Linked DNA regions of Kluyveromyces lactis. The protein of the gene in region 2 binds, or shares a complex with, the protein of the main gene of each other region. Links are inferred from orthologs where the notes say so. Each region holds a gene or a part of one and is shown on either strand. Other genes may lie near its edges.

Region 1 (4,405 bases), about 2.0 Mb from region 2:
TAGTTGGAATGTCGTGCCCTACATTAGTACGAGAACCACTCCGAATCATGATTCTCATGTCGTGTCACCAACTATTCTAGTTTTCTAGAACTTGGTTTTTTTTTATATCATAAGAACATATATATAAGGGCCAATACACAAATGTATAATGATGAAAAAAGACTGAACTCCAATTAGTTGCAGATTCTCCAACATTTTCGCAGTCGAAAGAAATATTGCAATAAGTACCGATACGTGTGAATTCAAACGTTTAATAAGCCGATACCAATGAGTGCTGTTGCCCACGACGCTGCTTGTATTTTCTGCAAGATTATCAAAGGTATGTAAACCTCAAATTGTTAGGTGAGAACAAATATCTGTTTCTCCCCTTGGTTTTTGCATGCTCGCAACCACCCAAGTGGCTTAGACTAGCTCTTTGATCTTATGAACTATAATACTAACAGATTCCACTACTGGTGTACTTTCAGGTGAAATCCCTTCTTTCAAATTGGTTGAAACTCAGTATTCTTACTCGTTCCTTGACATCCAACCAACTGAAGAGAACCACATTCTTATCATTCCAAAGCACCACGGTGGGAAATTGCACAACATCCCAGATGAATACTTAGCTGACCTGTTGCCAGTTACTAAGAAGTTAGTGAAAGCCATTGGCTTCGACCAAGATGGTCCTGATGGTCCAGGGTACAATGTCCTTCAAAACAACGGTAGAATAGCCCATCAAGAAGTAGATCACGTGCATTTCCATTTGATCCCAAAGAAAACAAAGGATGCTGGATTAATCGTAGGTTGGCCTGCACAGGAAACTGATTTTGCTAAGCTGAGTGAAATGCATAAAAAGTTGCTTGCCAAACTAGAAACCTAAGCGCGATCTTTTTCGCAATGAAAGAGACCAAGATATGACGAAGATGACGAAGCTGACGAAGCTGACGAAGCTAACGAAGATGATCATTGAGATCGTCTCATATATATTATAACTACATATTTCCTACTGTACCAATTTCTACTTACCATTCACATAAGGAATCCAATAGCTCATTCGCATTGTGGGAGGGATCTTCTTAGAGAGGAGATGAAAAAATATTGTTACCCGGCCGAAATTTCACATATCCGGTGGCAAATTCTGAAATCTCTAGATTATAAAGAGGGAAGCGATTTATTATATATAAGTATTGCACACTATTTTCGGTGATCCTTGAAGGTTATTTTCAGGATTAACACCAGTAAGTGAACGCTAGATTAAATAAAGCACTCACCAGGGATTTACAATAATTGTCTCCTTTAATTGAATCATTGAATCACCAGATTAGGGGTTAGATCAAGTTATTTAATTTTTGTTTTATCTTCCGTCTTTTGGTTGAAATAAGAAGAAATAAGGTCCAATTTCAGAAGTTAATCAAGAAACCTGCATATCCTGTTTACCAAGAGCTTAATTACATCGTGGATCCTACCAGAAGGAATTACAGTATCTTTAAAACAACTTTTCACCTCAGTTATTAAGAGAACATGCCAGAAGAACATAAGAAATTGTTAGATAGTTCTGGCACTGCAGCTGACGCAGATGATGCTACCGCCACTGCCATCTTGAGAAGAAAGAAGAAGCAAAACATGTTACTGGTCGATGATGCAGTTAACGATGACAATTCTATCATTGCTATCAATTCTAACACTATGGATCTTTTACAATTGTTCCGTGGTGACACCGTTTTAGTCAAGGGTAAGAAGAGAAAGGACACCGTTTTGATTGTTATGATTGATGACGAACTGGAAGATGGTGTCTGTAGAGTAAACCGTGTTATTCGTAACAACTTGAGAATAAGACTCGGTGATTTGGTCACTATCCATCCATGTACCGATATCAAGTATGCTTCCAGAATCTCAGTGTTGCCAATCGCTGACACCATCGAGGGGTTGACTGGTAATCTATTTGATGTGTACTTGAAGCCATACTTTGTCGAAGCTTATAGACCGGTTAGAAAAGGTGACCACTTTATCGTTAGAGGTGGTATGAGACAAGTAGAGTTCAAGGTCGTAGACGTTGAGCCTGAAGAGTACGGTGTTGTTGCCCAAGATACTGTCATTCATAGTGAAGGTGAGCCAATTAACAGAGAAGATGAAGAAAATAACATCAATGAAGTCGGTTATGATGATATTGGTGGTTGTCGTAAGCAAATGGCTCAAATTAGAGAATTGGTCGAATTGCCATTGAGACACCCACAACTATTTAAGGCCATTGGTATCAAACCTCCGAAGGGTATTTTGATGTACGGTCCTCCAGGTACCGGTAAAACTCTAATGGCCAGAGCTGTGGCTAACGAGACAGGTGCATTTTTCTTCTTAATCAATGGTCCAGAAGTCATGTCCAAGATGGCTGGTGAATCTGAATCCAACTTGAGAAAGGCTTTCGAAGAAGCAGAAAAGAATGCTCCGGCCATTATTTTTATCGATGAAATTGATTCTATTGCACCAAAGCGTGACAAGACTAACGGTGAAGTGGAAAGAAGAGTCGTTTCTCAATTATTGACTCTAATGGATGGTATGAAGGCTAGATCCAACATCGTTGTCATTGCAGCCACCAATAGACCCAATTCTATCGATCCTGCTTTGAGAAGATTCGGTAGATTTGATAGAGAAGTCGATATTGGTGTTCCTGACGTTACTGGTAGATTGGAAGTCTTACGTATTCACACTAAAAATATGAAGTTGGCTGACGACGTCGACTTAGAAAAGTTGGCCGCTGAAACCCATGGTTATGTTGGTGCTGATATTGCCTCCCTATGTTCTGAAGCTGCTATGCAACAAATTCGTGAAAAGATGGACCTAATTGACTTAGATGAAGACGAAATTGACGCCGAAGTGTTGGACTCATTAGGAGTTACTATGGACAACTTCAGATTTGCATTGGGTAACTCCAACCCATCCGCATTGCGTGAAACCGTTGTAGAATCTGTTAATGTCACATGGGATGATATCGGTGGCTTGGATGAAATTAAGGATGAATTGAAGGAAACCGTCGAATATCCAGTCTTGCATCCAGATCAATACACCAAGTTTGGTTTGTCACCATCGAAGGGTGTGTTGTTCTACGGTCCTCCTGGTACTGGTAAGACTTTGTTAGCTAAGGCTGTCGCCACCGAAGTGTCTGCTAATTTCATTTCGGTCAAGGGTCCTGAGTTATTAAGTATGTGGTACGGTGAGTCCGAATCCAATATCCGTGATATTTTCGACAAAGCCAGAGCTGCAGCCCCAACTGTCGTTTTCTTAGATGAATTGGACTCCATTGCTAAGGCTCGTGGTGGTTCTTTAGGTGATGCAGGTGGTGCATCTGACAGAGTGGTTAACCAATTATTGACCGAAATGGATGGTATGAACGCCAAGAAGAACGTTTTCGTTATTGGTGCCACTAACAGACCAGATCAAATCGATCCAGCTATTTTAAGACCTGGTAGATTGGATCAATTGATCTACGTTCCATTACCAGACGAAACAGGAAGATTATCTATTCTATCAGCCCAATTAAGAAATACACCATTAGAACCAGGACTAGATCTAAAGACCATCGCTCAAGCTACACAGGGATTCTCTGGTGCAGATTTATTATATATCGTACAGAGAGCTGCGAAGTTTGCCATTAAAGATTCCATCGAGGCACAAAAACGTGCAGAAGTTGTCAAGAAAGAAGAAGGTGCAGAAGAAACCGAGAAGGTCAAGACAGAAGAAGACGTTGAAATGTCAGACGTTCAACAAGAGGATCCAGTTCCATTCATTACCAAAGAACACTTCACTGAAGCTATGAAAACAGCCAAGCGTTCTGTTACAGATACTGAGCTTCGTCGTTACGAAGCTTATGCTCAACAGATGAAGGCATCCAGAGGACAATTCGGCAACTTCTCGTTTGGTGATGATTCAGGTGCTGCCGCAACTCAAGCTGGTGCTGAGGGTTCTGGTGCAGCTTTCGGAGATGCCGCTGGTGAAGATGACGATGATTTGTACAGTTAGATACATAACCTTCACAAAACATAACAGGTCTTTTTCGATGCAAAATGAAATGTAATAAATTACAATACAGAGGAATACTTGTTGCTAAATTTACGTAGAGATTAAATATTATCTATTAATCACGTGTAACAGGATATTTGAGATAACTGGTTTTAATATGGTTAAAAGATTCATCAGTCTTAGCTATCCCTTCCAATTTTGGGTCTTGAATTCATCTTTAATTCGACCTAGTAGTGCAATGGTATATTTTCGCCAGGCAAAGCAATACAGGGTCTCCGAAGTAAAACCAAATTATATTAATGAATACATATATGTGCGAGAGTATGTACGTTTGAATGAAATAGAAAGTTGAGAGAAAGAAATGCAAATACCAAATAGTCACCTACGTGCTTCAATGTGTTGGCAATCC
Region 2 (4,321 bases):
GTAATGTAGAGTTTCATTAATAGATTTGCTCTTCTTTGCAGTGCCAGGCTGTATTTTGACTTTATACTTATTTTTAGTTAAAGCAGCCCAGGGGGCATAGACAGGGATAACGTCAGCTATTTTATCATCTTTGGAAATACCGGTTTTCAATTGATTCAAAAATTTTGGAATATCAACTTCGACCTTTTCTGATTTGTTAAACTGCAAGATGCGAGTTTGCTCTTGGTTTTTACGTATCCGCTTTTTAAACTCCCTCTTTTCGGCTCTTTCCATCTCTTCAAGTTTTTTTTGCTTCTCTCTTTCAATACCTTTTAATGTTCCAAGTGCTTCTAGTCTCAATAATCTTTCTTCTTCATCTTGGTCAAAGTACTTCTTTTGGATTTTTTTCAATTTCCCTCTCTTACCACGAACCGCTGTATTCATATTTTCAACAATTGAAGTAGCTATAGTCTTACTCTCATCAAAATCCTCTTCACCTTTGGATAAATCACTATTTGAGAGTTTCTCGTACCCATCAGTGGCCTCTTCTCCTGCTAAAGCCACTTCATCGAAATTGTTGACATCGAACCCTAGATCATTAATTTCTTTTGAAATAACGTTTACATTATTATCAATTTGGTCGACTGGGTTTGTTTCCGGCTGAGAAGTATGACTTGTATCATCGTCAGATGCTTCTAAGTCACTATTTTGTTCATACTCACCCTCTTTTTCCTCGCTATCCTCTGTCTTTACTTTCCACACAAGTCCTAATCCCATCACTAATTGTGCTGGTGGCAACATGTTTTTAGCTTTAGGTTGTTTCATTCTAAATGATCCAACTGGAAGAACACTGCCATCAATGTCGTCAAATTTCGTTACATTTTTAGCGAAACACCACCAAGGAGAGGATGCAATCTTTTTTGACCATGCATCACTTGCAGAATTTGCAAAAGTACCAGCTTGCATTAGTGTGTTTGGTGGTACTTCAGTCTTCTGAGGGTTCAAAATCCAAGCCTTCACGTCAAATGCATTGGTGACCATAATGTCATCGTCATTAACATACTTTGCATAAAGTTGATCAGTTTCGACGGGACTCTTACCCATCAGTACGAGAAAACTTTCGCTAGAAATAAACCAGTAATATTTTTCGAAAAAATATGGAGTTCTAATTGCTTTCAAGATATCATGAGATTCCTTTGACTTCTTTTGTAGATCTTTTTCGATCTTTTGCTGGATACTTTTTAAAGCCTTTTCAGCATTCTTCTCAACTTTTTTTTGTTTCTCTGATGTCGCCTTTTTGGCGTTGAAATAACTGGAGGCGTTTGCAAATGCCGATAAAGATAAATCGACTGTCAGCAGAACAGTTTCCCGTTTCTCTGATGTTATCTTGGATTTTCTTCTACTTTGCTGTTTACTTTTGGATGAAGTTAGTTCTTCAAAATCAGAATCAGAATAATCCGATGAGACAGAGGAATCTGATTGGTTAACATCACTTTCGTTTGATGAATAATCAGCTTCTGACTGATGATGTTCAGTAGAATCATCCTCGCTGTACCCATCTTTTGGTAATTCAATGGTAATTTTATTATTTGGTAAATCCATTGGCAGCTTAATGATCCGAGCAATCTTGTTGCCTTTCCGCTGCTCGTTTGCTATTAAAGTTTCCATACTTTGCCAGTCCATTTGTTGGTCCAATAAGCTTTTAACTGCATTCTTGGCCTCTTCTACTAAATTTGCATTAGCTATCAAAATGTTTCCTTTTTCTTCGTTAGTTTGTTGTGCATGTAATAACGATTTTATAATAGTTTCATTGTTATTCTTTGCCTCATCCAATTTTTTTTGAGCCTGGAAATCCTGATTTTGGATACGGCTAGCATATTTGTTTGATTCTATTGTAGAAAAGAATGTGTCTACGGTATTATTGTACATTCCGCCGATTTCGATAATTTTGACGTCAGTGGAATCTCCTACAAAGGGTTTGAAGGGATGGAAATTTGAAAAAGTGTATTCAAGTTCCGGCTTGTCTCTTAAAGGATCGTACAGTTTGTTCTTATGAGCCACTATATAACCTATTCTTGTTGACGTAGTCGAGATCAATTTATTTGCTTGAACTTCTAATGAGGACATTAAGTCAACAAGCACAGAGACATTGTGTTTAAACTCAAGACACGAAGAAGATGGATCAATACCAATAGCTTTCAACGAGTTTTGAATCAAATCACTTGATAAATGTGGAGCATGAACAAATAAAAGTTTTTGAATAGACGGAACAGATGCTTTTCCCTTGAGTTTACCTTTTTTAGCCTCTCCGGGCACAATTGTGCTTTTGGCTTTAACGTCGGCTTCTTTCAACCAATCTGCTATTTCATTTTCGAAATATTCCTTAGGATCAGGAACCGTAGTTGAAGTTTGGTTAATTTCTGCAAAGTTGGCCATGTCATAAAATTCACCAACTTTCATCGAATAATCATCGACAACTCTCTGTAGTAAAAGAATTTTTTGGTCAGCATCCAATAAAAGCACATTTCCGGCACTGAAAAATTCTAAAACAAGGTAGTACTTACCATCAGCAAAAGTAAACACAATTATTCTGTCATTTGGGATCTGCTTAACTGCCGTCAATCGTTTTTCTTTCAAATACGATCTCAATTTGGAAACAAACCACGAAGGAGTCGGGGGAATCGGCCTGGTAAAGTCAGTAGTATGAACTCGCAATCCGCAATCAATGACAACGTTTAACTTGGAATCGGGTTTTCCAAACTTTAATAAGAATTGCCTGTTTGAGTCAGCAATGTTATAGATATTTCTTAAGCGAAATCCTACAATTTGATTCTCCAACTCTTTGGATATCAGTTGCAAATCTAACGAACTCAATCTCTGTTTCATTTTCTAGTATCAAATCCAAGATTATAGTTTAGATATTTCGTACTCTCCAAGTTGCAGTTAAGTCCACTTTACCAGTCTGAGTTGATTCTTTTCGAGCACTATACTTGATTCAGATCTTCATACAAATCAGTATTTTCACTGCTAATCAGATTAAAATTATTAGAACTTGGTCACTGCTATTAGATCAGATATCTTTTATTACTTAGGTTTAAGACTAAACTGCTAAGCTGATATATTTTCCAGATAGCTGTACCTAGGATGTTAGTAGTATATGTCATCTTTGTCTATTCGCAATCACTTTATATATGCTGCTAATGAAGGAAAGAAAGACTACGTACGAGTTTGTATTGGAACTTTCTAAACTACCATGTTGAAAAATGTCAAATATTTGAAATCACATGACCTGAATTTCAAATTTTGAACTAGAAATCCTTAATATGTATATCATCTTGCACGGTGAAATTTTTCATCAAACAACAACCCAAAAATGTAATTCACTTAACAAGCAAAGTAGTTTCTATGCTCAAAAATAAGTGATCAGAGATATTCAGAGACCGTTTGTTGGAAGATTGCTTGAACGAAACGCAGGCAGGTAGCGACTTAAATCACATTACTTGTGTTTTTAAGAGAATATAATAGGATTTGTCGACAATTCTGATCTAGAAATCGATTTTTGCCCAATTAGTATAGGAGTCCTTATATTCCTGAATCACTGAACGATGTCATTCTTCGGTTTTGACGCCACGGGCCGAAAACCTCGTGAGAGGAAACAGCAAGGCGAGGAGGATTCTTTAGATTTCGAAGAAACGTATCAAGGCTTGGGTGATTATGAGCCAGAGGAAGATGATTTGCTCAATGATGAAACTTTTGGTACTGGAGCGGATCTGGGTACAGATTTTGATTTTGGTTACGGTAAAGGGGAGCTTGGCGCTGGTTCAGGTTCTGGTAGGGCACCAGCACCAGCTCCTGTTTCTTATGCATCTATTGCAAATGCCAAAATGAACAGACAAGCAGACTGTAAACCTGGTTTCGAACAATCGCTGGACATGCAACCTATGGAATCTTTATGGGGTAACAGCTCCGGTAATCAGCAACAACAGGTGCAACCTCAAGCCCCTACACAATTCCAAGCCCCACCACAGGTTCAACAGCAAGGTGCACCTAATGTGGAAGGATTGGCCATTCAATCTTTAGACAGACAACAACAGATGGCTATGCCGCCTCAACCTGGATTCTATGGTATGCAACCTCCGCAGAACCCTGGCTACGGCTTTATTCCACAAGGGTTCCCTCAAGGTCAATACCAGCAATTCCCTGGGCAAAATATTCCCCCTGTTATCCCTAATCAATTCGGTAATGCCGGATTTCCTAATCAACCTGTTAACCCTCAGGAACAATTCCAACAAGTACCACCGATAATGTACAATCAAACACAAGGAAACATTGCACATCATAT

Evidence for each region.
Region 1: RQC2 (region 2) and CDC48 share a complex: the UniProt entries of both Saccharomyces cerevisiae proteins name them as parts of the ribosome quality control complex. The link is inferred for Kluyveromyces lactis from reciprocal best matches to the Saccharomyces cerevisiae genes RQC2 and CDC48.

Annotation. Positions count from the first base shown.
Region 1 is NC_006042.1:552,997-557,401, reverse strand, and holds CDC48 (AAA family ATPase CDC48), read left to right. Parts: upstream 1-1,503; coding exon 1,504-3,996; downstream 3,997-4,405. Other genes in the region: HNT1 (adenosine 5'-monophosphoramidase), read left to right, coding at 268-319, 468-862. UniProt on the Saccharomyces cerevisiae protein: ATP-dependent chaperone which probably uses the energy provided by ATP hydrolysis to generate mechanical force to unfold substrate proteins, disassemble protein complexes, and disaggregate protein aggregates.
Region 2 is NC_006042.1:2,527,364-2,531,684, forward strand, and holds the start of RQC2 (Rqc2p), read right to left. Parts: upstream 2,866-4,321; coding exon 1-2,865. Other genes in the region: deadenylation-dependent mRNA-decapping factor PAT1, read left to right, coding at 3,585-4,321. UniProt on the Saccharomyces cerevisiae protein: Key component of the ribosome quality control complex (RQC), a ribosome-associated complex that mediates the extraction of incompletely synthesized nascent chains from stalled ribosomes as well as their ubiquitin-mediated proteasomal degradation.